3 linked regions of the Macaca mulatta genome follow. The protein of the gene in region 3 purifies or fractionates together with the protein of the main gene of each other region. This does not show direct contact. Links are inferred from orthologs where the notes say so. Each region holds a gene or a part of one and is shown on either strand. Other genes may lie near its edges.

Region 1 (9,753 bases), on a different chromosome or scaffold from region 3:
TCTGAGGAAATTTCCAAAGCAGACTCCTAGGCTCAAGAGATCCTCCTGCTTCAGCCTTCCAAAATGCTGGGATTACAGGCATGAGCCACCACACCTGGCCTGATTCTTAAGAACAACTCAAAAACTCTAAATCTCACTATGTAAAAAGATGGTAACCCTTCCAAAATCTATCACACTACTTTAATCATCCACCTAGGGAACACTCTGAAGTCAAAACAAATATAGTTACATCCATGAAAGAGATAAAATCTAAGACAGCCTACATTACAATAAAATCAATACTAGAGTTCGGTATAATCAAAATTACAGGCTATATCATCTGTTAGTTATGATACCTACTGGCCATGGCACAAACATTTTATTAATCAACCACTAGCTTAGAATCAGCACCAGAACATCCTGAACTTTAAATACATGCTGAATCCATTGTAAGTCTACAAGTTCCTAATTTTATCCAAATTTCAGAATGTCAAAAATCAATGTATCAATGATATTTAACTATTATCTAGTCGATCCTCAATAAACTAGTAAGAGAATAACCTCACTTCCTGCTTTGGTTTGAATGTGTCCTCCAAAGTACACGTGTTGGAAACTTAATCCTCAATGCAACAGAGTTGACAGTAGCACCTTCAAGAGATGGTTAGGTCATGAGGGTTCTGCCCTTATGGACAGATTAATGTCGCTATCACAGGAGTGGGCTCAGTATCTCGAGTGGGTTTGTTATAAAAGTATGTTCAGCCTCTCTTGCTCTTCCTCACTCTCTCCTGCCCTCCCTCCCTCTCTCTTGTCCTTCCACCTTCCACCCCGGGATGCTGCAGCAGAAGGGGTCTTGCCAGATTCCAGCACCATGCTCTCTGACTTCTGGCCTCCAGAACCATGAGCCAAATAAATTTCATGACAAATTACCCAGTCTCAGCTATTCTGTTTGAGCAGCACAAAACAGACTAAGACATCCCCCATTTTTAGCTGAACTATAAAATATACTGTCTTGAATCATAAAATGGACATGGACAACCAAATCACTGGTGAAAATAAATCTTAATTTTAACCAATGGTTTGAATTTCTTCTTCTACCACAGATACTAACTAGTGTAGCAAAACTATCTATATTTGAAGTTCACTGCTAATTTTCCCTGCCCAACCTCTAGTACAAGTGTTTAAGGGTTTAATGAACAGGGTAAGGACAAAGAAAATTCATCCTGAAGTAAAATACATGACTGACCCTGGTGAACTGCAGCTGCAGCCAAACTGGACTTCTCCGTCTTTCCCAACCTCATCTCACACTTCCCCACCATACACCCTTGCTGAGCTGTTCCAGTGCCTGACTTTTGGATCTCTCCATCCCATTTTACCCTCTAAAACTCAAATCAAACACCATATCCTCCAATAAGTTCACACTAAAGCTCCCCAGAGAGAAGTCTCTACCTTAAACACCCGTCATCTAAGCCCCTCTCGGTGCTCACTCATGTCTTATTTCTCCTGCTAGAACGCGAGCTCTATGAAGGCAAAATCAATCTTCTCTATAAGATGCCTACCAGAAAAAGCAGGCACTCAAGAGAAAAAACGTAAGGTTACTAAAAACAAATTTAACCAACTTAAATTTATTAAATTTAAAAGCAAGGTGGTTCATTTAAAATAATCTGTTTCAAGTACTACTGAGAACCCAGGTACGAACCATCCATTCTCTTTGCAAAATGCAGACTTTTTATTACTCATCATAAATGGCTTCGAATTGAGCTAATGCTGACCATTCAAAATGGCATGTTTCAAATATGTAGACATCAGAGCATAAAAGCCTCAGTACATAATATTTAATAAATTAAACTGAGACTAAAATTAATACTCACGTTTCAGAACAATAATTAGAGATGCCATTGGCCAAGACACTTCATTTGGATGACTAACTAAGTAAAAGGCTTGGAAGCTGTAAATAAACGGAACCCACACCAAATCTCCAAAAGCCAGCATGAATCCAAATCCATCATGGATGATGTCCATGGTCGTCAACAACGCTTCCTATAAGGATACAGACAGGGGAAAGGGAGAAAGAGCTTCTATGTTTAAAGTATTCAAATAAAGTACTAGTTTACAGGCAAATGTATAAAGTGCTATGGGCAGGTCCACAACCAACATTTTTTTGTTAAAGGGGAGAGAGATTTGGTTCCCCTGGCCTGCTAGGTCTTTCTGCCATCACATTCTCCTGTCACGCTAGCCTCTCGCTCATGTTCCCGAGATAACAGATCTCTAAAGCATTTCCCATGCCCAGGCCCTCCCCTCTGCTGGCAACCCCTCCTCCAACCTGGGCACTTCTCAGATGTCACCACCCACCAGTAGGGCTCAGACCTGGGCACTTCTCAGATGTCACCACCCACCAGTAGGCTACAGCAATTGGGTTACTGTACTTGTCTAGTCACTCTCCACTATACTAAAAGCCTCTAAAAGACAGAGGTTGTGTGTTTCTACCTTTGCGACCCCAGTAACTAGCACAGTGTCCGCCATGGAGAGAAGTGTTCAAAATATGTTTGCTGAAGGAATATGATCACCAACTCTTTTTGTTTCAGTTCCACATGCACCAATCTAATTTCTGATCATAATCTGGCTTTTCATGTAGATTTTCCACAGAAGAAATTAAGCTGCCTGGCAACATGGTGAACTGACAGCTTCACTTCTCATGCAAATTAATAAAAGTGCATTACTCCCTGGTGATTTGCTTAGCGTGAGCCAGTTCGCCTCTGGACCAGGATAAGGGGCAGGCCAGACTCTAGAATACAGACATACCGCCAAGGTCAACACTCTGAAGGTCTGGCCTGAGGGAATCTCCAAACTACCTGGAACCTCACTACAGACCACTGATGTTGAAAAATTAGCCAGTATAGGCCGGGCGCGGTGGCTCACACCTGTAATCCCAGCACTTTGGGAGGCTGAGGCGGGTGGATCACAAGGTCAAGAGTTCGAGACCAAACTGGCCAACATAGTGAAACCCTGTCTCTACTAAAAATACAAAAAAAAAAAAAAAAAAAAAAATAGCCAAGCATGGTGGCGGGCGCATGTAGTCCCAGCTACTCAGGAGGCTGAGGCAGGAGAATCACTTGAACCCAGGAGGCGGAGGTTGTGGTGAGCTGAGATTGCATCACTGCACTTCAGCCTGGACGACAGAGTAAGACTCTGTCTCCAAAAAAAAAACAAAAAAAGAAAGAAAGAAAGAAAAGAAAAAGAAAAATTAGCCAGTATAAGCTCTGTTGGAGAATCAAAGTTCTAGGTTAAAGAAAAAGAGTGGTACCTCCAAATAGGATTTTTTCCAGAAAAGAAAGCAAATAGGCCATGGAACAGAAAAACAGATGTCATATGGAACAGAAACACCAATCCCACAAAATCTACCTCCTTAGGCTTATACTCTTTAGTTACCAGAGTTCTTTATTCTCTTTAAAAAAAATTGACATGTAATAATTGTACATATTTATGGGGTACACAGTGATGCTGCCATACATGTAATATATAGTAATCCAATCTGGATAATTAGCATATCCATCATCTCAAACACACTATTTCTTTGTGTTAGGAATATTCAATATCCTTCTAGCTATTTGCAACTATGTATCACTGTTAACTATAGTCATCCTACAGCAGTACAGAATACTAGAACTTAGAACTTACTCCTCTTATCAAGTGGTAATTTTATATCCTTTAGCAAACCTCTCCCTCCCTATCTTTCCCTTCTCCCTACCCTTCCCACCTTCCCACATCCTCTGTTCTACTTTGTACTTCTATGACATCAACTTTTTTAGCTCTCACATGTAAGTGAGGATACATGGTGTTTTAACTTTCTGTCCCCGAGAGTGTCTTCTTATTCTTCTCTCTCAAGGCCTGTGATCTGATTCCTGGTCCAAAAGAGGATAAAGGTGACAAAACGGAGGGAGCAGATAAAAGCAAGTGTGGTGAGTAGCAGTGAGAGGGCAAAGGGTAAGCACCCAGTGCCAGGTCAGGGGGAGGACCTTAGCCCCACCAGCTCCTGAGCCCCAAGGTTTTCACAGGCTGGACTCAGAGGAAGGGTCATACATATTTAAACTGGTAGTCTCCATTTTCTTAAGGTATAGCACATTCGTGAATACGAGGAATTTCTATCAAGTGACCTAACAAAAAAGTTATTAAGCATCTGCTAATTGCCCAGTGGTATGCCAGAATGCTACAGAAATCATAAAATACAATACTTCCTCAAGAAGATTATCATCATCTGGCTGAGATACTGAGAACAGACAGAAAACAATTTCCTAACTCTAGTTGTCTACCCCTGGGCTATGTTAATTTTGCCTTAAAATGCAAAAAAATTTTCTTTTAACAGAGGTCAGTGTTTGGCTAAATCTATAGAAAATATGAACTTCTAAGCCAATTGAAAAGTGAAGACCACAACATGGCAGAAAGCTATTAACAGATGAAACCAGACGAAATGATCACTTATCAATGGAAAACTACTAGAAAGGAAGTTTTAAAGAAGCCTGAGGTGAGCAAAACAGTGAAATATCATTTGATTTGCAAACTGTTACCTATACGCTCTTTTGGCGATTCATTCTATAACAGCAAACAAAGCTACACTGGTAATAGTAAGTGCATTTACAAAAGAGTTGTTTTTTAATTTCAAAAACATGTTTAATTTTGGATCGACTTGGAATTTTTAAAGTCAATTTGAAGTGCTATCACCACCTTCACAGCTTCCCAGGCTCTGAGCCAGGGTCTGTGAAGTGGTAGGAGGGCAACAGGAACCCGTAATTAGCGGATAGCACTAATCCCACCACTTGTAATTGAGGTTTACCTCAAAGTGGCCCTAATCTTCCTAAATAACAAGAAGATCATCAAACACCAATATCAAACTTGCGAAGTTGTTCTGACTCAATATTCTCTGCAATTTTGCATAGAAGGCCACAATTAAAGACCAGCCGGCAGGGGTGGGGGAGATATATAGTAATGATGGCCAAATAATACACTTTTTTTTTTAATGTTCCAGGCTCAAAGAGAAAAGGTCTTCTCTCAAAATGTCAGCAGACTGTCTCAACACACTGTCATTAAAACTTGTTTTGGAACTTTATGATGTACAGCTGCCAGATTTGTTTTTAATATGGAAAGAAAACTAGACGTGGAATTTGGAGATGATTACAAAGATAACAGTAAATATGATAAAATACTTGTAAAATAAGCCTGAGGAAGAAAAAATTTTTTAAAGGAATATGCTGGTTGAGACACAGAAAACAAACAAAACATTTACCAGTCTTCAACTAGCAGAAAGACTAATCAATGTACGAAAAAAGACACGAGATGAAAACTTAGCCTTATTTCAACAGGCTTCCTCAATGCATCTTGATTTCTGATTTTACGTTCATCTAATTAGAGCTAGTCTTTGTATTTTAAAATACTAACAATAAAACACCTCCCCCATTATTTAAAAACCAGGTGACTCTTGACAATCCAAGAAACACCATACTAATTTGGTAATAATCCATCCATTTTCATGTGATACCATAATTACCACCGCCCACAAAAACAAACCCAAGATCCACCAATCTTATATTGAGAATATTACTTTTAAACACAAGATCAGCTGATAAACACCAAAGCACTCCCAAATGCCTAGAAACTTCCCACCTGTCAGCGCTCCCTCCTCAGCTTCGCATGGATGGCCTCATCGTCCTCACAAGCAGCCTTGGAGGCAGGCCGTGCTCCCCTCACTTTGTGTGCAAGAAGCCGACGCTCTGACAGGTCACTCACCCACTCAAAGCCATCTGACTCCAAGGCCTCGGCTCTTAAAAGTAATTACCTCATTCCAGAGAGCGTCCACCACATAGAGAAGCTGGAAACTATTAACCAAAATCATGGCCAAGGATGGAATAGCACGGTCTTGTATTTTCATTTCAGCCAAAAGCATCACCAAGTTAATAACCACCTGAAATAAAAGGGGAAAGTATATAGCCTCAAAGCACCTCCCCAGGGATCTTAGCACTACAAAGGCATGAGTGAGCTTCACAGCTGAGACACCTGGCAGATGCCACCTTAACACCTACCCGCCACCGGGAATAAGACATCTCAGCACCATGGGCCCCTGGACCCAATGCACTGAGGACACAGTTATCATTTCTGTGTTCCTGTCACAGTGCATAACTTCACCCCAATCAAAGAGAACACTGGAATGACCCAAACTGAGGGACACTCTTACAAAATAACCAACCAGTACTTTCCAAAAAGTATCAAGGTCATGAGAGACAAGGAAAGCCTAAACAACTATTAGACTAGAGAAGACTCAGAAGAAATAACAACCAAATGCATCGTAGAGTCCTGTCGAGGTTCCTGGAACAGAAAAAGGACAACAGCGGAAAGACTGGTGAACTCGACTGAGGCCTGCAAACTCGGTAACTAATGCTGTCGCTATGTTAATCTGCAGTTCTTCATCATTACACACTGGTTTCCTCCGAGGTTAACGTTGTGAGAAATAGAGTGAAGGGTGGAAGGGAACTCTTTGCTATATATCTGCAACTCCAAGCCTAAAACTAGGTAAAAATAAGGTTTTAAAAAAGAGGAAAATGCATCCACACTATCACTTTCCTATATAAATATAAACTGATAATAAAGCAAAGAAAAGATACTTAATTTGTCATATCTTAAACCTCTGGAAAATATTTACAAGAAAATATTTTGATAGATTTATGGAAAGCCATAATTATCCCTAAAAATATACCACCCACTGCTTATTTTTAAATGGTCTACATTTCTTTCTAGCAATTAATTAGACCTATTGAATTGAAATTTAGAAAGAAAAAAAAAAAAGACATACCCATCCAATCAATCCGGGGCGCAATTCACAAAAGTATTTGAGATCAAAAGTACCAATTCGAGGGTTTAATTCACGGCCAATGAAGAAATCATAGACAGCATTTCCTGAGAAGGGAAAAGTGTTTACCCAAACAGTGTTCCAAACCCAGTCAGGAGGCTTTAAAACTGCACTGCTGCCCACTATCCAGGCTCACAATTCAACTGCCTGCAAGTGCCTGAGCAGAGCTCTGGTGATGAGAGGTAGACAGGACGGCACAGACTAGGGGAGACGCCTGCCCAACTGAAAGGGCAGTTACTACAGCCTTTGGGGAGCCGGGGACCCAGATACCCCAGGTTTCTTAAAAAACAACCAAAATCATGGGGGCCCCCCAAAGGACTTTACACTCACAATTTTTTTAGATAGGCGACATTTTTTTAAATACTTTAGCTCAGCATCAACCAATTTGTAACCTCTCGTTTCTTTTGTCTTTTGTTTTGAGATGAAGCCTCGCTCTGTGGCCCAGGCTAGAGTGCAGTGCCACAGTCTCAGCTCACTGCAACGTCCGCCTCCCATGCTCAAGTGATTCTCCTGCCTAAGCCTCCCGAGTAGCTGGCATTACAGGCATGTGCCACCACGCCCAGCTGATTTTTGTATTTTTAGTAGAGACGCGGTTTCACCATATTGGCCAGGCTGGTCTCAAACTCCTGATCTCAAGTGATCTGCCTGCCTTGGCCTCCCAAAGTGCTGGGATTACAGGTGTGAGCCACCTCGCCCAGCCAGCAACCTCTGTTGTTTTGTTTTTGCTTTTTAAAGAGTATTTACTATTTTGGACAAAGAAATAATATTTGTCATAAGTCAAAACGCCTGTAAGTTTACTAAACGTCTTACTGTCATCAAGCAACTGCAAAAAAAAGAAATGAATAAGAAAGTATGAAGGAAAAAGAAAAACATTTTCTTCTTTTAAATTCATATCTCTTTAACTTTTTTCTTCATCTTTTCATTTTTTCTTCTCTTCATTTCCCAAAAATGAAGTTAGAAAAAAAGCAATCTACTCAAATCTGGAAATGGCTGCTGGAGGGCTCTGGGACGCATTCATCCAACACGCGATTCATCACTGCTCACCAGAGCTGGCAGGCGACAGGTCATTCCGGGGTGCTTTCAAAGAGCGCATGTAGAGATACACACTCAAGACCACACAAAAAACAGTGGCCCCAAGTGCAAACTGAAGAAAATGACTGTACACATAATGAAACTCTACGCCCTGGAAGAGAGATGCTCCGATGACTGCAGATGTCAGGATAAAAGCATAGAATCCTTTAAAAAAAAAAAAAAAAAAAAAGGGAAGGGGAAAATTTATGTTAACCCAAGGCTCACAGGAGACGTACGCCATTATGAAACAATACAATGTTCATTTTTAAAGTCTTAATATCATTATTCAGACTAAATACACACAAATATGCAAATAAGCAATGTCCTGAGGTATAATCTTCAATATACATACCATTATCTCTTGTAGAACTTTCCAAATAGTTTAACATATTGATTCTTCTTCAGTTCAAATGGTCATTATTTGCTTTTAATTAAGGGAAAACTGACAAGAAGTGCAACCTGAAAATTCCCACAATCCAAACTCTCAGGCACAAAGTCAAATGGCTAATTATTAACAGAGCTGAGCCAAACACACATTTTAAAGTCTAATGCCATTACCTAAAGGGAGGGTATTATGCACTCACCAGGGGCCAGGCACTGAGCTAGGTTAGTAGTTACAAAATTATAAATATTTATACTTAACCAACTTGTCAATAATGGTTTCAAAAGATTCTAGTTAAACTCTACCATCCAGAACAGAGTTCTTAAGATGCCACCCGCAGAGAAGACGCCACAACACAAATGCTGGAGGCCAGGCAGGGGACTGTGAGTACCCATGGGGTAGGGACAGCAGGTGGGCACATTCACGGGCAATGCCAAGTTAAAAAGCACCCACCCTGTGAGGTTCCAAAGAACTCTCGTTCCAGGCTAGTCCTGCTGCCACACAGAAAGGCTCACTGGGAGATTCAATTTTTCCTTTTGGCTAAAAAAATAGTTTTGTGGCTGGGTGCGGTGGCTCACGCCTGTAATCCCAGCACTTTGGGAGGCCGAGGTGGGCGGATCACGAGGTCAGGAGATCGAGACCATCCTGGCTAACACGGTCAAACCCTGTCTTTACTAAAAATACAAAAAAAATTAGCCAGGCATGGTGGCAGGCGCCTGTAGTCCCAGCTACTCGGGAGGCTGAGCATGAGAATGGCATGAACCCAGGAGGAAGAGGTTGCAGTGAGCCAAGATCACGCCACTGCACTCCAGCCTGGGCAACAGAGCAAGACTCTGTCTCAAAAAAAAAAAAAAAAGAAAAAAAAAGAAAGAAATAGTTTTGCTTTCAAGGGAGCTGAGTGCCTGAAAGAGCTGTGCTCCTAAAAAGTCATCAAATCACATTAGGATAAATGGTCAAACGCAAAAAAGAAGTAGCTGTTATTTATTTGAGAATTCTAAAACCAAACCTTTTGTAAAATAAAATAGTTGTCTCAACTGATCTGAATCCACATTTTCCACAAATACTCCAAATAATAACTTCTAATTTTAAATTCTGACTTTTAAAGATATTCATTTACCTTTCATAAAATGTATATTTTAAAAAAGAATGGTTAGATGAAGCAGTCTTTTGCTCTCTAGTCCACGTGAATTAAAAATAATCATCCAAAATGTCTTAGGAATCTCCTTAGTTAATAATGGTAAAATTCATGAAAAGAAACCTCAATACTTGAACCCGAGTAATTAGATGAGGACATTTTTAAAAAGGATCAAGCAACTTGGCCAGCCACTCCCCCACTGGCTACAAGAGCTCCAAGCACTGTGCTCAGTCTCTGTATGTACCACACCCCTCAGAGGGAAGTGAAAATGTAACACAAGACTACTTAGAA
Region 2 (9,753 bases), on a different chromosome or scaffold from region 3:
CAGAGAAAGAGCACGTGGGTCGAGCCAATGTGAGAAGCCGGACAGACCCTGAGAAGCATCACTGTAAGTTAACACAGGGAAATACATGGGCGTGATGTCAGCTCTGGGGACCATGCCCCCAGGGCAGGACAATGGCAAACTCACACAGCAAACAACCTGGGTGGGCCTGGCTGGGTGGCACCCTCCGCAAACAAGGAGGCCACAGCACTCATTTCCCTGTTCCTGAGAACCCGTGGCCAGCTCAGCCCGCTGAACCCTATCACTGCCGTCCACCCCACGACGCTCTGGGAAGGCGCGCATGGGGGCGGTGTGCTCCCAGAATGCCCACAACGGGTACAGTTTACTTCACCCAATGGTGAAGCATTAACCTGGGAGTCAAAAAAGAAGGTATTAAAAACATACTAACAATAAACACATCCTCCCAGAGGTCTTCTGAACTCAACTAATACACACCGGATGCCGGGACCAGGCTGGATGCAGGGCCGAGCCCACCTGCCCGCAGGGGCACCTGTGTTGTAGGGGACGCCGGACAGTTGGCAAGGAAGAGGCACATAAGACAATTCCAGAGTAAGGAGGTTGACAATCAGGGCCCTGTGACAGGAGAAGGCAGCCAAGGCCTAGTGAGCAGGAGGGTTTGCCCTGAGGAGCTGCCACCCTAGCTTAGACGTGACAGGCCAAAGCAGCAGCGCCTGCAGCAGCGCGATTTCCCCTCACGGAGCCCCACCCCACTGGGCACCACCCTGCGGCTCCTGCAGTCTCCCACTCCTCTGCCCCTCGTGGAGTGCTGGGCACGACTCACCCTCCCCCATGGAACCGCAGGTGCCCACAGGCAGCGGGGACAGGGTCTGACCCACCTCCAGCACAGCCCAGCACACAGGAACTGGAACCCAGAGCACGGGCAAGGCAAGAGCAGCTTCTCGGAGGCCAATCACACCTCCTTTCCTGCCAACGTGCCCTCCAGAAGCAGATGGGGGAACAACCTCAACACGCTTCCCCAGCACCACCCACAGAAAGGACGCAGGGCCAGTTTCTGGACCCCTCCAGGACGCTTGCTGCACGCCCACCCCACCCCCACCCCTATGCCAGCAGATTTGCATGTCTCCTCTTGGCACCAGCAATCTTGATCTTCACAGAAAAAGGACAGGAGAGGTCAGAAGATTCCAATTTCCACCAGCGCCCACATCCAGGCTGTTTCTAAAATGCAAGCAACCTTCACCAGGACTGTGGTTCACACAGGCTCCGGTTCAGAGGCAATTCTCCCGACACCATCAGATGCCTGTAGACCTTGCGGATAGTCAAAGAAATGCAAATCCATTCGTGCCTACTTAAGCCTCCTGACGAAAGAACAACTATTTCCAGAAAAGACCACCATCCACGACAGGGAAGGCTGCAGGGAAACTGGAGCCCTCAGCCGGGGCTCTGAGAACAACCGCTACAGAGACCGCCATCGCTGGGGACCTTATAGCCCAGGCCTAGGGGTCTGTCCAAAGTCAACAGAAGCGAAGGCTGCATAGATACACAAGTGAACACAAACACACTAAAAGTCCATAAATGACAAAAAACGGATTCATCAGCCTTCAAAATTCATAATTACAAATGCAAAAAAACTGCTTAACTTTTTTTTTTTTTTTTTTTCAGACAGAGTCTCACTGTGTTGCCCAGGCTGGAGTGGAATGGCGTGACCTTAGCTCACTGCAACCTCCACCTCCCCGGTGCAAGCGATTCTCCTGCCTCAGCCTCCCGAGTGGCTGGGACTACAGGCGCCCGCCACCACACCCAGCTAATTTTTGTATTTTTAGTAGAGATGGAGTTTCACCATGTTGGCCAGGCTGGTCTCCAACTCCCGACCTCAGGTGATCCACCCACCTTGGCCTCCCAAGTGCTGGGATTACAAACATGAGCCACCACGCCCAGCCCAAGTGCTCAACTTTTTAATTGAGAACTATAGAATGGAAAATTAATACTTCTACTGATTACAACTATGCAAAAAACGCAGCTGTCCGTGTGGGAAGCACAATTAATAACACAGGCGCGGCGCTGCAGTGGTGAACAAGAGCATGCATTCCCTCTCCTCAGGAAAACAGTGCCAGGAGGGCAGTCCCCGCGGAGCGGAGGCCCCGCTCACCTCGCCGGCCTGGGCCAGGCTGTCCTCTTTCTCACGAAGCCTCTTGCTGGCAGCGTCCAGGTTCTGCTGACACTGCCTGTTGCGCTCCAGCTGCTCCTGCATCTTCTCCTCCGCCCCAGCCTCCCGCTCCTGAAGCTGCCGGATGCGCGTCAGGAGCTCCTGGTTGCGATCAACCTCGCGCTGTCAAGAGAGCAAGAGTCAGATGCCATGTGCCACCCACGGGAGGGTCAGCGGGGAGCCCTCACCCCCACGCCTCTCTCAGAACAGGCCGAGGCGCAAAAAAGAGGTGAGCAGGACGCATCAGCCAAGTCAGCGGCAGAACCAGGATGGAACCTGGGACCCAGCTCCAGTGCCGGCGCCCCCGCTGAGGCGCCATGACGGTGAGCACTGTGCAAAGTCAGGACTCCCAGGACGGGCACTTGGCACAGATCACACACACATTCATCACACCGTCTGCTCAGCAGTTGCCTCTGCAGGGAGAGGGAGCACGGGAAATCTACAATTCAGCATTGACCTTGGGGAGAAGCTGAGCTTTCACAGCACCAGCAAATCCTGTCTAACTTCACTCTGGCCGGCACTGAAATGAGCTGGCACTCCCCCAGCGAGCAGCCGATGGGGCAGAGACAGGTGGCGTGAGCAGGAGGCTGCGGACAGAAGCAGTTTACACTGGGCTCAAATCTGCCACACATGCACACCATCTCACACAAACCTCCAGAGCCACCCCCCCGACTGGCCTTGGGGAGGCTGCGTGGCTCTCACTGGTTGGGATGGGACATAACCAAGAAGCACGCTCAGACCTCCTGACTCTAATGACCCGCAGGCCCTGCAAGTTCACTGCCAGGTACAAGAGTCCCAGGAGGTGAAGGCGGTGAGTCCTGATGGAGCCCAGCACTCTGGGACCCTCTCGCCCTGCCTTCCTCGGGAAGCTCCAAGCACTCCCCCTGAGCCCAGGGAGGAGTATGAGCTTGTGCTGTCCTCATCTGGGGTACTCCAGCCCAAAGCCCAGGAGAGGTGTTACAGAGGTGGCTGCCTTCTGAGAGAGGCTGACCCGCACCTCGGAGGGACTCTAGCCCTTGTGAGCTGCAAGGGCTGCCTCACAACAACCAAGAGACTCTTCTGTGATGCAGAACAGGAGCTGGGGTTGGCATGGGGCTCCGCTCAGCACCATCACAGCCAGATGGGGCACCAGGCCCGGGACTGCCAGTCCTAGTGCAGACAGGGCAGCCAGCAGGTCGCCGGACTTCAGACACTTAGGTCTCAACCCCTAATAGGTATTTCCAGGTGGAACTCCAAGGAACAATTGGAAGACTACTGGTTCCAACTGTTCCTGGGATCCTGTGCAGCTGTGTCTGTGGGCAAGGAAGGAAAGTCCTGCTAGAAGGTGGCTGGAGCTCAGCAAGGAGCCCCAAGTGTAAGCTCACTCACCTGCATTCTTGGATTTCCCCAAGAAAGGGCCCCCGGAGACCCTACAATGACTCCTCCCTCAATACAACATTTGTGAGTACCCATAAAATGCCATAAGCTGCGCCACACAATGGAGATCCTAGGCGGAGTCAGGTGGGCCCTGCCCTCAGGGACTCTCGGCCCCAGAGGAACTCCAACAGCTGCACACTCCGTTCCTCCTGCCTGAGAGCCACAGCCATGCCATGAGCACGCTGCCTCCAAACTAATGACCTGGTGCCACCTCTCTACCCCTAACAAGGGAACCTCAATAGTTAGGGAGATTCCTGTGGCCTCTCCCTCCCCTTCCCACCAATTCCTCCAGGACTGTCCCTCCTAGGACCCACCCAGGCCGTGAGCAAAAGCCCCACCTCTCAGGGAAAACAGCTCTCAAAGCAGCAATGGAGCCAAGCCTGAGGCTGTGGCCCCCACCCCATGGCACCTCAGGCTCACTGAGCCCACACAACGCACCACAGCCAGGATCTGCAGGCCAGGGGCAAGGAATCCAACCAGCATCACACCCCGGAAGACGTGAGCTATTTTTCTAGGGCCTAGGAGAGTGTGTGAACAAACCGCACGATGCCAGGGAGGGGCTAGACATCTACCCGCCGAAAGAGGGCACACAGGCCAAGGAGACTTCCCGCCCAATACTCTGCCTGAACCTTGGCAGCATTTCCACAACTGATCAGCACTGACCGAAACGCTGGCAAAGCGCTATTCATCAGAGCAGAGGGAATTCGCACACTCAGTGGAAACCTAATTCCCTCCCCAAGGACAGGGTGTTTTCCCTGCTGCCCTGGGTGAGCCAGGAGCAACACACAGCCACCAGTGAGGCCGGCACCCTTCGCTAGGGCCCTCCAACCCAAAGGCCCAGCATGGACCGGGACCCTGTTCCACCCCGTGACCTCCTAAGCCTGTCCCTCCTACACCACTCGGCATTTCTGTCAGACCTGCATTCCAATTCTTCCAGAGGGAAGAGGAAACCAGGAGACCCAACAAAGGAATCTGTGCCGGCACTGCAGCCTCACTGAACAGACACAGCAAGTGTTCCCATTTCATGCCATCCTCCTCTAGGACAGCAAGCATAACCAATACCTGCCCCACAGCATGCGTGGCCTCAGAAGGAATGTCCTGGCAACCGTGACACAGGGCATGTCAGGCTTCCAGTCAGCTGGGTTCTGATTTCCTACGGCCTGGCAGGTACCATGCACAGCCCCCTTGCTCCCAGGGGCTGCGATCTGAATTCTTATAACCTGGCAGGTACCGTGCACAGCCCTCTTGCTCCCAGGTACTGGGATCTGATTTCTTACGACCTGGCAGGTACGGTGCACAGTCCCCTTGCTTCAGTGGCTGGCTGGGCTGACCCTCGCCCCACGTGAACCCACCTCGTAGTTCCTGGCACTGGTGCTCGCCGCTCTCTCCAGCTCCACTCGAGCCCTCTTGTGACTCAGTTCCATCTGCATCTTCTCCCGCTCCACCTGGATGAGGTGAGACTTCGAACGGATCTGCTCTGCTCTTTCCTCCAGCTGAGAGGGACATACCCAAAGAAAAACAGAATGCTCAGTGACTGCATCAAACAAGGTTGAGTGACTCAGTGCAGCGGACACATCTCTGAGCACCCATTCCCGCAGGTCCTGTGATAATTCTTGATGTGCCCCAGCTACCGGGCCCCAGGCAGGGGAACCGGGGAGTGGCAGGCAGTGGGAAGGTGAAAAAGCTTAGGAAGAGGAAGACGTCTTTTGAGATGACATTAAGCATATTAGTGAACGCAATGGCCTCGAATGCCACCCATTTATTTACCAGCCAATGGCTCTGTGGGTCAGAAGTCCAGACGTAGGTGGCTGCGTTCTCTGAACAGGGTCTCCCAGGCTAAAAATCAATGCAGTCGACCAGGTCGTGTTCTCAGGTAGAGCTCAGCATCCTCTCACAAGCTCACAGGGATGGAGAATGAGGTCTCCTTCCCGACCAGCTGCCAGCCCAGTACGGCCATCCACTCCTAGGAGCTGCCCACATCCCTTGCCACATGGACCTCTCCCTCTCCAAAATCAACCACGTCCAATCTCCCTTGTAAAATCCCGCTCCTGCCATGTCTCTGACTGCTCCGCCTCAGATGTCTGGACTGAGACTTAAAGGGCTCTGGTGAGCAGATCAAGCCCACCCAGGGAGTGGATCAAGTCCACCCAGGTAATCTCCTTATCTCAAGGTCAACAGATCTGAGACCTTAATTACATTTGCACAATCCCACAATGATACCTAGTCAGTATCGACTTAAACCTGGGAGGCAGTAGGAAGGTGAGTGTGCACTAGAGCCTGGAATCTGGGGGCCCTCTCAGAAGCCTGCCTACCACACAGGCCTAGTGATTACAGGTGAGCTGAGCCTCACAGAGCCCCAGAAGACTTGCCAAACAGTTCCAGAGTCGGCCTTTGGGTACGACCTGCTCAGCTGGAGGAAAAGGCAGTCACCAACTCTTCATATAGCCCAGAGCCTTGCAGTGCAGCATCTCTCAGCACTTAACAAATGCAGAGTCTCAGGCTACACCCCAGATCTATTCAATCAGAATCTTCTCTTTAGGTTGGGCGCAGTGGCTCACGCCTGTAATCCCAGTACTTCAGGAGGCCAAGTCGGGTGGATCACTTGAGGCCGGGAGTTCAAGATCAGTCTGGCTAACATGGGGAAACCCCGTCTCTACTAAAAATACAAAAATTAGCCAGCGTAGTGGTGCACACCTGTAATCCCAGCTACTCAGGAGGCTGAGGCAGGAGAAATGCTTGAACCCAGGAGGTGGAGGTTGCAGTGAGCCAAGATCACACCACTGCACTCCAGCCTGGGTGATAGGGCAGGAGTTCGTCTTGGAAAAAAAAAAATCTAGGCCAGGCACGGCGGCTCATGCCTGTAATCCCAGTAGTTCGGGGGCCAAAGTGGGTACATCACTTGAGGTGAGGCGTTCGAGACTAGCCTGGCCAACATGGTGAAACCCTGTCTCTAGTCAAAACTACAAAAATTAGCCGGGCATGGTGGTACGCACCTGTAATCTCAGCTACTCCGGAGGCTGAGGTGGGAGAATCACTTGAACCCAGGAGACGGAGGCTGCAGTGAGCCAACATTATACCACTGCACTCCAGCCTGGATGACAGAGTAAGACCCTGTCTCCAAAAGAAAAAAAGAAACTTCTTTTTAAACACATTCTCAGGGCGTTCACATGCACGTGAAAGTTTGATAAGCACCAGAGTAGAGTGGTGGTTCCCAGTGAGGGCCAGTTTTGCCCCTGGGAACATCTGGCACTGTCTGGAGACACCTGACTGTCACAGAAGGGTGGTCATATGTGTGTGCTGCTGGCTGGCATCCAGGGGGTAGAGGCCAGGGATGTTGTTCAACAGCCCACAATGCACAAGAAAGTCCTGAGAAAAAAAGAATTACCCAACCCAAATGCCAAGCATGCCAAGGCTAGGAAAGCCCGGGACGGGGGAGGGAAGTTTCTCTGTCCTCCCACCTGTGTTCTCTGGTGGCCCAAGCCCACGCTTCCTTTCTTACTATGTTACCGTGTCTCGATTCCCAGCTGCCGCTGTTTGGGCATTCCTAAGACTGCCCTTCAAACTCAGCAGCCTTCCTGGTCTCACTTCTGTGTCTGCAGTCAAACCTGAGCCTCTCGAGAAGGGTGGGCACCCCACCTGCAGGGGGCACGACCGGCAGGGACCAGGAGTCCCAGACACACCTGATCCGTGTGCCACCTCTGCCTGGAGCTAACTACAACTGAAAGACAGCAACTGAAAGCTTGCCCTTACATTAAATCAACACAGATGTGTGATAAACCAGACAGCACACATTCCCCGGCCTGCCATGGACTCCAGGCCCTCTCTGCCATGCCGGGGGCTCAGCAGGAGAGAAACAACCACAACAAAGTCCAGAAACGGGATGTGACAGGGGCCAGGGACCAAGGCTGGGCTCACCGACATCACTCTGCTCGCCACCTCGCTCTGACTACCGCACCCCATCACAGATCCCCTCACCGAAAGGCCCTTAACAGTGAGCACTGGGGGCCTCTCAGGTCCAAGACAGACTAGAATCCCAAAGCTTTGACAGATAGGCCAAGAGGTCCCAGACATTTGCAACAAGGAAATTACAGCATTTCAGACCAGAGTTGCCAACTCTGTCATCCAGGCTGGAGGGCAGTGGCGTGATCTCAGCTCACTGCAACCTCTGCCTCCTGGGTTCAAGCGATTCTCCTGCCTCAGCCTCCCGAGTAGGTGAGATGACAGGTGTACGCACCCGCCTAATTTTTGTATTTTTAGTAGAGATGGGGTTTCACCAAGTTGGTCAGGCTGGTCTCAAATTCCTGACCTCAAGTGAACCACCCACCTCAGGCTCCCAAAGTGCTGGGATTCTAGGCGTGAGCCGCCGCAACCAGTTCAGAGTTGGCAACTTCTAATTTTGCCAGTGATAAAAACAACAACCATCTATTACCTTCATAATTTCATAAAAGAGCATTTACATATACATATCACATATATACATACACACACATATATATGTGACCTAATCTCAGAATACAAAACTGTCCTCATGAAGAAACGGCAGTAAGCAAGCTAGCAGCCAGCATTCTTTTTTTTTTTTCTTTTTTGAGACGGGGTCTCGCTCTGTCGCCCAGGCTGGAGTGCAGTGGCGCGATCTCGGCTCACTGTAAGCTCCGCCTCCCGGGTTCACACCATTCTCCTGCCTCAGCCTCCCGAGCAGCTGGGACTACAGGTGCCACGCCCAGTTAATTTTTTGTATTTTTAGTAGAGACAGGGTTTCACCATGTTAGCCAGGATGGTCTCGATCTCCTGACCTCGTGATCCGCCCATCTCGGCCTCCCAAACTGCTGGGATTACAGGCGTGAGCCACCACATCCAGCCACAAGCTAGCATTCTAATAAACACATATTAATTCAATTATGCAACAAAACAAATGCACACACACACAGCTTTACCAAATGCAGCAGGGCCTCATCTGGGCTCTGAGAGCACAGGAAGCCAGAGCCTCCTCTAATGGGCACAGGACTACAGAATGGCTCTGGGGCCTGCAGCAGGGACTGGGAAAGAGGGTCCAGGCAGAGGGGTCTAGAGGAGCCTGTGCAGCCACAGGGCCCAGGCAAGGCTGGAGACACTACTTGCCAGCACTCCCCAGCACTCCACTCCCCACCACTCGGGGGCCCCGTTATCCCAGCCCCACGTGGGGCTGGGCCCATCACTCTTTGGATCCTGAAGTCCTTCAGGAGACCTGAGTCCTCTGCAGTTGTGTCTACAGTGAGCAATCCCCCAAGAACTTGTAACGAAACCAAATACAACTATTTTATAGAAGAAATCCGTAAAAATCACCCCAAAATCTGAAAATGGCCCTCTACAGCCTGAGACCACAAAACATCCCGTCCTTCTGCTCACGGCTGTGGCTTTGTCTCTGGGCTGCCGGGCACTCCCGCACTGTGTTTCCGACACAGCCTGCCCGACGGTCCTGCTGCTCACACTCCCAGGCAGTTTGGGTTCTGTCCTCAATTAGATGAACGAACTGGCTTTCCGATCCTATCACCAGGGTCTGTGGGTGCACTTGTGTGAATGCAATGCTGAGCGCCAGGCCCACTCAGGGTGCTAACAAGGCAGGCCTTCGAGCCAGGATGGCTCAGGGCCCCAACTAGCCTCCAGCTACTGCCCCAAAACGAGAAGTGGCCACAGTGAGGCCTGGAAGATGAGCAGCTGGTCTCTAGGCTGAGCTAATACTGACCCACCTCAACTACAGAACACTTGAACAGGCCCTGCCTGGGCCCAGGGGTCTCCCCAGAGAAGACTCCCACCCAGGCACATGCCACTCACCTGCATGCTCTGCTGGTACTGCATCTGCAGAGAACCTGGGGCCGAGGTGGAAATATCCAGTCCAGATCCTCCCTCCACCCGCTGAGAGATGAAGTTGTTCAAAGATCTCAGGGTGGATAAAACCGTGGTGTTTTCCCCCAGGTCTTCCATGGTTGCTTTCCTTCTGGGAACAGACAAAGGACTGGTCAGGGCCAGCCTTTCTACGTGCCATCAGCTGTGCAGTCAGCGGGGCCTCTGGACATCCCCACTCCCCTAACGCTCATTGGAGCCCATAATACACCAGTGTCTGTAACCACATTCTTCAAAGGCAACTGGGAGCCATGCTGCCAATTTACCAGACAAAA
Region 3 (10,285 bases):
GACTCCGTCTCAAAAAAAAAAAAAAAAAAAAAAAAAAAGAAAAGAGCCCAGGCGTTTTGCTTTCATTGATTCCATATTTACTCAGCACCTATTGCAGGTTCCATGGCAGACACCAGAATCTGAAGCCAGAGAGGAAAATCTTACAGCTTCCTGATGCTAATGCCTTTGGCAAGGCAAATCTTGGCTAAATATTTCAGAGTAAAACCACATAGGATGTGCAGTACTGTAGGGGAATCCAAGTTTCACCATTTAGGCAAACTGCTCAATCTCCCCTGGCCCTATCTATAAAATCGGGACAATAATTCATGCACTGCAGAGTTGTTAGGGTTAGATAATGTAAGTGCTTAAAATAGTACATATACTTTTTAAAAAATAGTGTATTTTAGGAGTACATATATGTATCTTATACTATGTACATACGTGTGAGTATATATATACCTTTTTTTGTGTGTGTGAGACGGTGTTTCACTCTGTAACCCAGGCTGGAGTGCAGTGGCATGATCTCAGCTCACTGTAACCTCCACCTCCTGGGTTCAAGCGATTCTCCTGCCTCAGCCTCCCAAGTAGTTGGGATTACAAGTGCCCACGACCACGCCTGGTTAATTTTTTTTCTTTTTTTGAGACAGGGTCTCACTCTGTTACCCAGGCTGGAGTGCAGTGGCGTGATCTCGGCTCGCTGCAACCTCTGCCTCCTGGGTTCAAGCAATTATTCTGCCTCAGCCTTCCTAAGTAGCTGGGATTACAGGCACTCGCCACCAAGCCCGGGTAATTTTTGTATATTTAGTAGAGACAGGGTTTCACCATATTGGTCAGGCTGGTCTTGAACTCCTGAACTTGTGATCCACCCACCTCAGCCTCCCAAAGTGCTGGGATTACAGGCATGAGCTACCGTGCCTGGCCTTTTTGTGTGTGTGTATTTTTAGTAGAGACAGGGTTTCACCATGTTGGCCAGGCTGGTCTCCAACTCATGACTTTAGGCAATCTGCCCACCTCAGCCTCCCAAAGTGCCGGGATTACAGGCATGAGTTACTCACCTAGCCTATATATACCATTTATATATTATACATACACATGCATATACCTATCCCCAACACCAGCAAAGTGTGGATTCTGTCTTCAACTTGCTTCCAAAAATTGAGGTGTTTGGCCGGGCACAGTGGCTCCTCCCCTCTCGCTACTCAGCATACCTGCTCAGTTTACTACAAACCAAGCACCAGGCCAGACTATTTCCCAAAATCACTGCTTTTATTCAGTGGCCTGGTAAGCTAAGTTCTTTACCACAATCTTCCCACATAAAGATGACCTCTGCTTTGGGGGATACAGAATTTAAGCATCACAAAAATCTGTATGTGATAAGAAAAGCACATTGGCTAAAAGATAGCTAATGAGGACTCTAGTCCTAACTGTGTTATCAAAGTACATATGCACTTGGCCAAGTCACTTAACTTCCTAGATTAGCCTGGGGCTGAAGAAGAGAAAAAATCATTATTAAAAAATCCTAAGGCTGGGCACAGTGGCCCACACCTGTAATCCCAGCACTTTGGGAGGCCAAGGCAGGTGGATCACTTGAGGTCAGGAGTTTGAGACCAGCCTGGCCAATATGGTGAAACCCCATCTCTGCTAAAAATACAAAAATTATCTGGGTGTGGTGGTGGGCACCTGCAATCTCAGCTACTCGAAGGCTAAGGCAGGAGAATTCCTTGAACCTGGGAGGCGGAAGTTGCAGTGAGCCAAGATTATGCCACTGCACTCCAGCCTGGGCGATAGAGCAAGACTCCATCTCAAAAAAGAAAAATATAATAAATTTTTGAGACGCCCTGAAGCAGAAGAGGCCAAGGAGAAAGACAAAATAGCCTAAAACCTGACAAGTTATTTTAAGTCAAAAGAATTTCAGGAAAATATAATAAGAATCTATTTATTTTATATTTAAATTCATAAGTCACATCCACATTATGTTCCTGGGAAAAATTCTGAAAGGACACAGCAAGGAGCAGAAAGGGCCACCTTCATGGAGTTTCTGTCTATGGACCCATCTTTGCTTTACAACCCCTAACAGAAATACCTGACCCAGCACCCTCTGGGAAAATCAACCTTTGATTCAAAGAGATGTTGTTCAGCAATGATTACAGTCACCGCCACATGCCATCAGCCCATCAGGAAACCTGAGGAGGGGAGGCAGACAACCAGAAGGAGAGTTGCTTCGTCTCTCACCAGGAAGAAACTCTAGCTCCAAACTAGATGGGTAATTCAGTGCCACATGAAGAAAGATAATTCAGCCATTGTGTTTTTATAATTAAGAAGCACTCATTCACTCGCGGAAGCCTTTAAGTGTCACTGGTGCCTGGAACCAAATGTAGTCTTCCCAAGCCGTGGTTCGGATGGAAGGTCTGCCACATGACAGGGTCACAGTCAGTTTATGGCCCCGGCTGGGCACTCGATAGTTGAGCTTGGGTTGAAACCAATCTTCTCCACAGTCGCGGTGTCCCTGTGCCATGATGATGGTGCCCATGAGAGGAGGAGCCTGAAGCTCACTAAAGGCATCAGCCATGAATATGGCTCGGAAGAGACGGCGCAAACAAGCTGCTGTGCTCAGGCTCTGGTCCACGCTGTAGGGGGCCAGCAGAGACAAATCGAGTTCATAGAACTCCTTGGGGCTTAGGGAATTGCCCCCAAGGAGAATCAGCACTCGTGGTACTAGTGTCCGTGCAAAGAAGTCCTCCAGGTGGCTGAGGACACTCTCCAGTTCTGCCACAGCTTGTTGGCATTTCCTGCTGCTCACCTCAGTGGTGGCCCGAGGTTTCTTCTTCAGCATCTCCTCTGCCTGTGAGGACAAAGAATGGCGGGAGAGAAGAACAAGGCAGGGGGAAGCTAATGCCCTTTGAAAAGAACCCTGCTGGGATGTGTACATAGACTTACAGGACTGAATTTCTAGCTCAATGAACCGCCACAGCCACAACACTGTGTTTTATCAGAGGGCATTATACTGAAAAGGAAAATATATTATTTGTACAAAACCATAATTCTCCCACATATAGAACAGCAAACACAGTGTTCTGAAGGTGGAGAATATCCAGATATAAACAACTAAAATAGAGATTTGGTAGTATGACAAAGTGACAACAAATTTTTGCTATACAGGGAGTGATAACAGGAATAAGGATTATTTGGTCTAATAAACATGACTCTGAACTTGTTCTTCCACTTAAACATAGTAAACTGAACAATGCTTATTTGCGCTTCCACCTGAAATACTACAAAATGAGAGAAAAGAAATTAAGAAACAAATGAACGAAAGAAGAGGAAAGACCGAGAAAGAAAACTCCCAAGGGCAAAGAACTGGAGACTACACAACACTAGTCAAATGCAAACACAAAGTTTTGGAAGACAGAAAGAGGATGAAGAGTTGGCCGAGCGCAGTGGCTCATGCCTACAATCCCAGCACTGAGAGGCCGAGGCAGGTGGATCATGAGGTCAGGAGATCAAGACCATCCTGGCTAACACAGTGAAACCCTGTCTCTACTAAAAATACACAAAATTAGCCTTGCCGGGCACGGTGGCTCATGCCTGTAATCCCAGCACTTTGGGAGGCCGAGACAGGCAGATCACAAAGTCAGGAGATCGAGACCATCCTGGCTAACACGGTGAAACCCCGTCTCTACTGAAAATACAAAAAATTAGCCGGGCGTGGTGGCGGGCGCCTCTAGTCCCAGCTACTCGGGAGGCTGAGGCAGGAGAATGGCGTGAACCCAGGAGGTGGAGCTTACAGTGAGCCGAGATGGCGCCACTGCACTCCAGCCTGGGCGACAGTGCGAGACTCCGTCTCAAAAAAAAAAAAAAAATTAGCTGAGCGTGGTGGCGGGTGCCTGTAGTCCCACCTACTTGGGAGGCTGAGGCAGGAGAATAGCATGAACCCGGGAGTCGGAGCTTGCAGTAAGCCGAGATTACGCCACTGTACTCCAGCCTGGGCGACAGAGCAAGACTCTGTCTCAAAAAAAAAGAAAAAAAAGAAAAGAAAGAAGGTGAAGAATTAAGAGTTCAAGAGAGCTGAATACCAAGTGCTGACAGAAGGGACTCCCAAGGGATGCAAACTGATACACACAGCAGAACCCCAGAAAGGTTTAGGAAGTGGTGATACAGGCACCACAGAGGCAAGAATGAATATAGGGGAAATGAATGAAAATCTGTGTCAAGATGCTTAGATCATCTGCCAAATTTCTCCCCCATCCAGAGGGAAGACTTTCCAATACTATGTTTAAGGAATCCCCCCAAAGAGATCACCAGGTTGCCACCTAATCTCCTTATAGTGAAGTCTATAAGCTCATAAGGCCCAGGCATGCACACAGAGCTTGCAGTGATTTGTTCTTAAATATTCACCAGACACAATAAAATTCTCCAACATGAAAGTCAAAGACCAGAACAAAACAAATGGAGAATGGATTCTAGAAGAAACTGAGATGCCGCAAAGAACAAAGAAAAACTTCAAAAATTAAATAATATCCTCAGGCAAAAGAAGTTCATGGCCTGGTGCGGTGGCTCACACCTGTAATCCCAACACCACTTCGGGAGACTGAGGCAGGTGGATCACCTGAGGTCAAGAGTTTGGGACCAGCCTGGCCAACATGGTGAAACTCCGTTTCTACTAAAAAAACAAAAATTAGCTGGGTAAGCCAGGCGTGGTGGCTCACACCTGTAATCCCAGCACTTTGGGAGGCCAAGATGGGCAGATCACTTGAGGTCAGAGTTTGAGAGCAGCTTAGCCAAAATGGCGATACCCCGTCTCCACTAAAAATACAAAATTTAACTGGGTGTGGTGGTACACACCTGTAATCCCAGCTACTTGGGAGGCTGAGGCAGGAGAATCGCTTGGAACCCAGAAGGTGGAGGTTGCAGTGAGCCAAAATCGCTCCACTGCACTCCAGCCTGGGCAACAGAGCGAGACTCTGTCTCAGAAAACAAACAGGCTGGGCATGGTGGCTCATGCCTGTAATCCCAGCACTTTGGGAGGCTGAGGCAGGCAGATCACCTGAGGTCAGGAGTTCGAGACCAGCCTGGCCAACATGGTGAAACCCTGTCTATACTAAAAATACAAAAATTATTTGGACATGGCGGCGCATGCCTATAATCCCAGCTACTTAGGAGGCTGAGACAGGAGAAGCGCCTGAACCTGGGAGACAGAGGTTGCAGTGAGCCGAGATGGCGCCACTGCACTCCAGCCTGGGTGACAAGAATGAAACTCCCTATCAAAAACAAACAAACAAACAAAATTAGCCAGGTGTGGTGGTGCATGCCTGTAATCCCAGCTACTTGGGAGGCTGAGGCAGGAGAATCACTTGAACCTGGGAGACTGAGGTTGCAGTGATCTGCGATAGTGCCACTCTCCTCCAGCCTGGGTGACAAAGTGAGACTCCATCTCAAAAAAAAAAAAAACAACAAAGCAAAAAAAAGTTCATACAGAAATTCAACAACAGGATGCTATTAAAAAGAAACATGCAGGCCGGGCGCAGTATTTCACGCCTGTAATCCCAGCATTTTGGGAGAGGCCAAGGCGGGCAGATCACTTGAGGTCAGGAGTTCGAGACTAGCCTGGCCAACATGGTGAAACTCCATCTGTACCAAAAATACAAAAATAAACCGGGCATGGTGGCACGTGCTCTTAGCTACTGGGGAGGCTGAAGCACAAGAATCGCTTGAACCTGGGAGGCAGAGGTTGCAGTGAGCAGAGATCACGCCATTGCATTCCAGCCTGGGCAACAGAGCAAGACTCTGTCTCAAAACATAAAATACAAAAATTAGCTGGGTGTGGTGGCGGGAGCCTGTAATCCTAGCAACTCAGGAGGCTGAGGCAGGAGAATCCCTTGAACCCAGGAGGGGGAGATTGCAGTGAGCCAAGATCTCACCACTGCACTCCAGCCTGGGCAACAGAGCGAGACTCTGTCTCAAAAGAAAAAAATGCGAAGAGCCAGTTCATTAAGACCAAATGCAACACGAGTTTCAGAAAGAAAGAACAGGAGAAAAAGCCAGAAGGGTTAGGCTACCAAAGACTAGAATGGGGAGAAAGTGACTGAAGCCCTGGAAGCTGCTTAGTCTCTCAGGCTCTGAAGATTTCTTAGACCCCCTTTCTACCTGCCTCCCATCTAAGAGCCACAAAGTCTTCCCACCAACTTGCTCCCAAAGCCTGTGCCTACCTGGGGAGAAGGTTTTCGGTAAAAGTTCTTAAGCTGTTCATAGGGCAGAGGGAGTTGCTGGCGTTGGTACATGATATGCTTTAGAAGTTCACAAGTAAACTGACAGCAGCCTTCCTGGCTTACAGGCCCAGGAAACACCACTGGTACTATGCAGTCTCTTGGGCAAAAGGGCTCCGAAGGGTTGAGAGGTTCCTGGGTAGAGCTTGTCTCAAGCAGTTCTATCTGGGAGGCGTGAGTTTCTTCTGACTTCTCATACCACTCCAAATCTGGTAGATGAAAAGAGGGACAAGAGAGAAAAATTTAAAACCTAAAAGCCAAAGTCAGTCTTCTCATTCCCTGTGGCCACCAAACCAGCCACCCTGAGAAAGCAGGCACTCCGACATACGCCCATACCCTCCGCAGCCTACAGTGTGGGCCGTGGCAGGGAGAGATTCCTGATCCCTGTTGCCTGAGGAGATTTAATTGACTGAAAGATAGTGGGGGTATTTCGGAGGTAGTAACTAGGGCTCCCCGCTCAGAAAGCAGCGGGACTTGATCTGGGGAAATGAGTCAAAAGTGTAGTCAAGCAGGGTCCAGTGCGACCCACGGCGATGGAGTCACAGCTAGAGCCTTGTAGGACACCCGGAAGACAGGGAAGATGGGCTAGGGAGAGGACCAAGGGATAAATGGAGGGCGCGGAGGTAGGGAAGAAACGGGTCCCTAAGGCTTCCCAAACTCTGGGCCCCACGCCTTACCAGGGACTGAGGCTGGGGACAGAACCTCCGCCTCCGGCGCCGCCATCACGACCTCCTCCCCTTACTCCTTGCGGTTAGAATAAAGGTCCCGCGGGGCATCATGGGAAGCCCGCGCCTCCACTTCCGGTTCAGTTGGGCCGGAAAAAAGGCGCGGCGCCACGGCAGTGTTGGGGAGGCTAAGTGGAGTTGGGATTTGATCCCTCCGTTCCTTCCTTAACACCCTGGCAAATATACGCCTAACCCTTGCCCAGCAAGAACCCAGGCGTTCTCAGCCAATGAGCGCTGCTTTCCAAAAGACACCAACCCTCACGCATCCATTCACTCCAGCATTCACTACTCACTGTGCACCTACTTCGTGCCAGGCCCTGTCCTAGGTGCTGGAGACTCAGCGGAGAACAAGCCAGGCGCGGACCCTGTACTCAAGGGGTTCACTGCCTGTAGATACCATACAATGTGATGAATTATACAGAAGGGTTTACACGGGGTGTGGAAGTGAAAAACAAGGGTGCCTGACCCAGAGAGGGTAGGGGCTGGGAAGGAGTGGTCCCAGAAGAAATGTGTGAAGCTGTGACCTGTAGGATAAGTCAGCAAGGTAAAGAGGAGGGCCCAGTGCTCCAGGAGACCTTGAGACAAGAGCATACTCTGTTCAAGGAATGAAAAGAGTTCATATTATAAAGAGTTAAGGCTGTAGTGAACAACAGGAGCCAGATCATGGCAGGACTGTGTAAGCCATGTGAGAGTTTGGACTTGATCCTGTAGTCAGATGGGGAAGCTTTGAAAGGTTTAAGTAGGAGAGTGGCATGATTAAATTTACATCTTATAATCTCTACCCTGGCTGCAGGGTAGAGATTGGATTACAGAGAGGATAAGAGAGGAGGCAGGGATACCAGTTAGAGGTAGTGCAATTACCTGAGTACTTGATGAAAGCAGCCTAAACTGCTAGGGTAGTCACAGTGGGGTGGAGATAATTGGGTAACTCGATATATTTAGGAGGTCCAGTGAACATAACTTGGTGATTGATTTACAAGGAGGAGGAGGAATAGAAATAGACTGACAAGAGGCCGGGCGTGGCTGCTCACACCTGTAATACCAGCACTTTGGGAGGCCAAGGCAGGTGGATCACAAGGTCAGGAGTTTGAGACCAGCCTGGCCAACATGGTGAAATCCTGTCTCTACTAAAAATACAAAAATTAGCTGGGCATGGTGGCATGCACCTGTAATCCCAGCTACTCAGGAGGCTGAAGCAGGAGAATCGCTTGAACCGGGAGGCAGAGGTTGCAGTGAGCTGAGATCACGCCACTGCACTCCAGCCTGGGTGACAAAGCAAGACTCCATGTCAAAAGAAAGAAAAGAAAAGAAGACTGACAAGAAAACAAGCAGGTTTCTGACTTCAGCAATTGTATGGCCAGTTGTGCCAGGAGTTTGATACCAGCCAGGACAATATTGGGGACCCTGTTTCTGCAAAATTAAAAAAAAAAAGTTTTTAAAAGTTAGCCAGGTGTGGTGGGTGCACATCTGTAGTCCTGGCTATTCAGGAGGCTGAGGCAGAGGATTGCTTGAGTCCAGGAGTTCGACAGTTACAGTGAGCTATGATTAAGCCACTGCACTTCAGCCTGGGCAGCAGAGTGAGACCATGACTCAAAAAAAAAAAAAAAGAATGGAGGAAACACTAAAAGAGGACCAGGTTTATTGGGGTGGGAGGTGAGTAGGAGAAAAGATGAGTTCAGCTTTTCACAGATTGAATTTGACATCTCCATAGGACAATGAATAGAAATATTTAGGAATGCCATTTGGAATAGCGACATGTATTTAAGAGCCATTATCATGTGAGTGGATAACATCACCCAGGGAGGGTGTGGAATGAGAATGGGCTAGGTTATTGAAGACACTAACATTTAGGGGATGACCACAGAGACAGAACCTATGGAGAAGACTAAGGAGTACCCACAGAAGGATAAAGAAAAATAGACAAATCGCCGGGCAAGGTGGCTCATGCCCGTACTCCCAGCACTTTGGGAGGCTGAGGTGGAAGGATTGCTTGAGCCTGGGAGGTTGAGGCTACAGTGAACTGTGATCGAACCACTGCCCTCCAGCCTGTGTGACAGAGTGAGACCCCGCCTCCAAAACCAAAATAGACAAGTGGGGCCAGGCATGGTGGCTCATGCCTGTAAGCACTTTGGGAAATCAAGGCAAGGGGAATGCTTGAATCCAGAAGTTTGAGACCGGTCTGGGCAACATGAGACCTTGTCCCTACAGAAAAAGACAAGTGTCAGGTCATGGAGGCCAAGAAAAGGGTGTGTTTCAGGAAGTAGGGACCAGAAGTCAAAACATACTGTAAAAGTACAATGATTAGAGGCCGGGCGCAGTGGCTCATGTCTGTAATCCCAGCACTTTGGGAGGCTGAGGCAGGCGGATCACCTGAGGTTGGGAGTTTAAGACCAGCCTTACCAACATGGAGAAACCCTGTCTCTACTAAAAATACAAAATTAGCCAGGCGTGGTGGTGCATCCCCATAATCTCAGCTACTTGGGAGGCTGAGGCAGGAGAATGCCTTGAACCTGGGAGGTGGAAGTTGCAGTGAGCTGAGGTCACACCATTGTGCTTCAGCCTGGGTGACAGAGTGAGGCTCCGCCTCAAAAAAAAAAAAAAAACACAATAATTAAAATACTGGGTCTGGCTGGGCATGGTAGCTCCACGACTATAATCTCAGCATTCTGGGAGGCCGAGATGGGAGAATTGCTTGACAGTGGAGGGACTGATTGAGTCCAAAAGTTTTTTTGTTGTTGTGTTTGTTTTTAGATGGAGTTTCGCTCTTGTTGCCCAGGCTGGAGTGCAATGGCATGATCTTAGCTCACTGCAACCTCTGCCCCCGGGGTTCAAGCAATTCTCCTGACTCAGCCTCCCAAGCAGCTGGGATTACAGGTGCCCACCACCACACCCGGCTAATATTTTGTATTTTTAGTAGAGATGGGGTCTTTATAAAAAAAAAAAAAAAAGACAAGTGTCAGGTCATGGAGGCCAAGAAAAGGGTATGTTTCAGGAAGTAGGGACCAGAGGTCAAAACATACTATAAAAGTACAGTGATTAAAATACTGGGTCTGGCTGGGCATGGTGGCTCACGCCTGTAATCCCAGCATTTTGGGAGGCCAATATGGGAGAACTGCTTGAGTCCAGGAGTTCAAGACCGGCCTGAGCAACATGGCAAACCCCTTCTTCACAAAAAATACAAAACTTAGCCAGGCATTGTGGCACGCCCCTGCATTCCCAGCTACCTGGGGGGCTGAAGTGGAAGAACTGCTCTCAGGCGATGGAGGTTGCAGTGAGTCAAGATTGTGCCATTGCACTCCAGCCTGGGTGACAGAAGGA

Evidence for each region.
Region 1: the proteins of MAD2L1BP (region 3) and LBR purify together in Homo sapiens (co-immunoprecipitation; 3 studies listed by BioGRID and IntAct, counting the BioPlex papers as one, with this or other methods). This does not show direct contact. The link is inferred for Macaca mulatta from reciprocal best matches to the Homo sapiens genes MAD2L1BP and LBR.
Region 2: the proteins of MAD2L1BP (region 3) and MAD1L1 purify together in Homo sapiens (co-immunoprecipitation; 4 studies listed by BioGRID and IntAct, with this or other methods). This does not show direct contact. The link is inferred for Macaca mulatta from reciprocal best matches to the Homo sapiens genes MAD2L1BP and MAD1L1.

Annotation. Positions count from the first base shown.
Region 1 is NC_133406.1:83,138,887-83,148,639, forward strand, and holds part of LBR (delta(14)-sterol reductase LBR), read right to left. Parts: intron 8,111-9,753; coding exon 7,919-8,110; intron 6,922-7,918; coding exon 6,818-6,921; intron 5,933-6,817; coding exon 5,807-5,932; intron 2,017-5,806; coding exon 1,848-2,016; intron 1-1,847. UniProt on the Homo sapiens protein: Catalyzes the reduction of the C14-unsaturated bond of lanosterol, as part of the metabolic pathway leading to cholesterol biosynthesis.
Region 2 is NC_133408.1:36,188,934-36,198,686, forward strand, and holds part of MAD1L1 (mitotic spindle assembly checkpoint protein MAD1), read right to left. Parts: intron 9,573-9,753; 5' UTR 9,560-9,572; coding exon 9,410-9,559; intron 5,092-9,409; coding exon 4,951-5,091; intron 2,306-4,950; coding exon 2,126-2,305; intron 1-2,125. UniProt on the Homo sapiens protein: Component of the spindle-assembly checkpoint that prevents the onset of anaphase until all chromosomes are properly aligned at the metaphase plate.
Region 3 is NC_133409.1:138,479,066-138,489,350, forward strand, and holds MAD2L1BP (MAD2L1-binding protein), read right to left. Parts: upstream 6,985-10,285; 5' UTR 6,966-6,984; coding exon 6,920-6,965; intron 6,452-6,919; coding exon 6,186-6,451; intron 2,822-6,185; coding exon 2,309-2,821; 3' UTR 1,941-2,308; downstream 1-1,940. UniProt on the Homo sapiens protein: May function to silence the spindle checkpoint and allow mitosis to proceed through anaphase by binding MAD2L1 after it has become dissociated from the MAD2L1-CDC20 complex.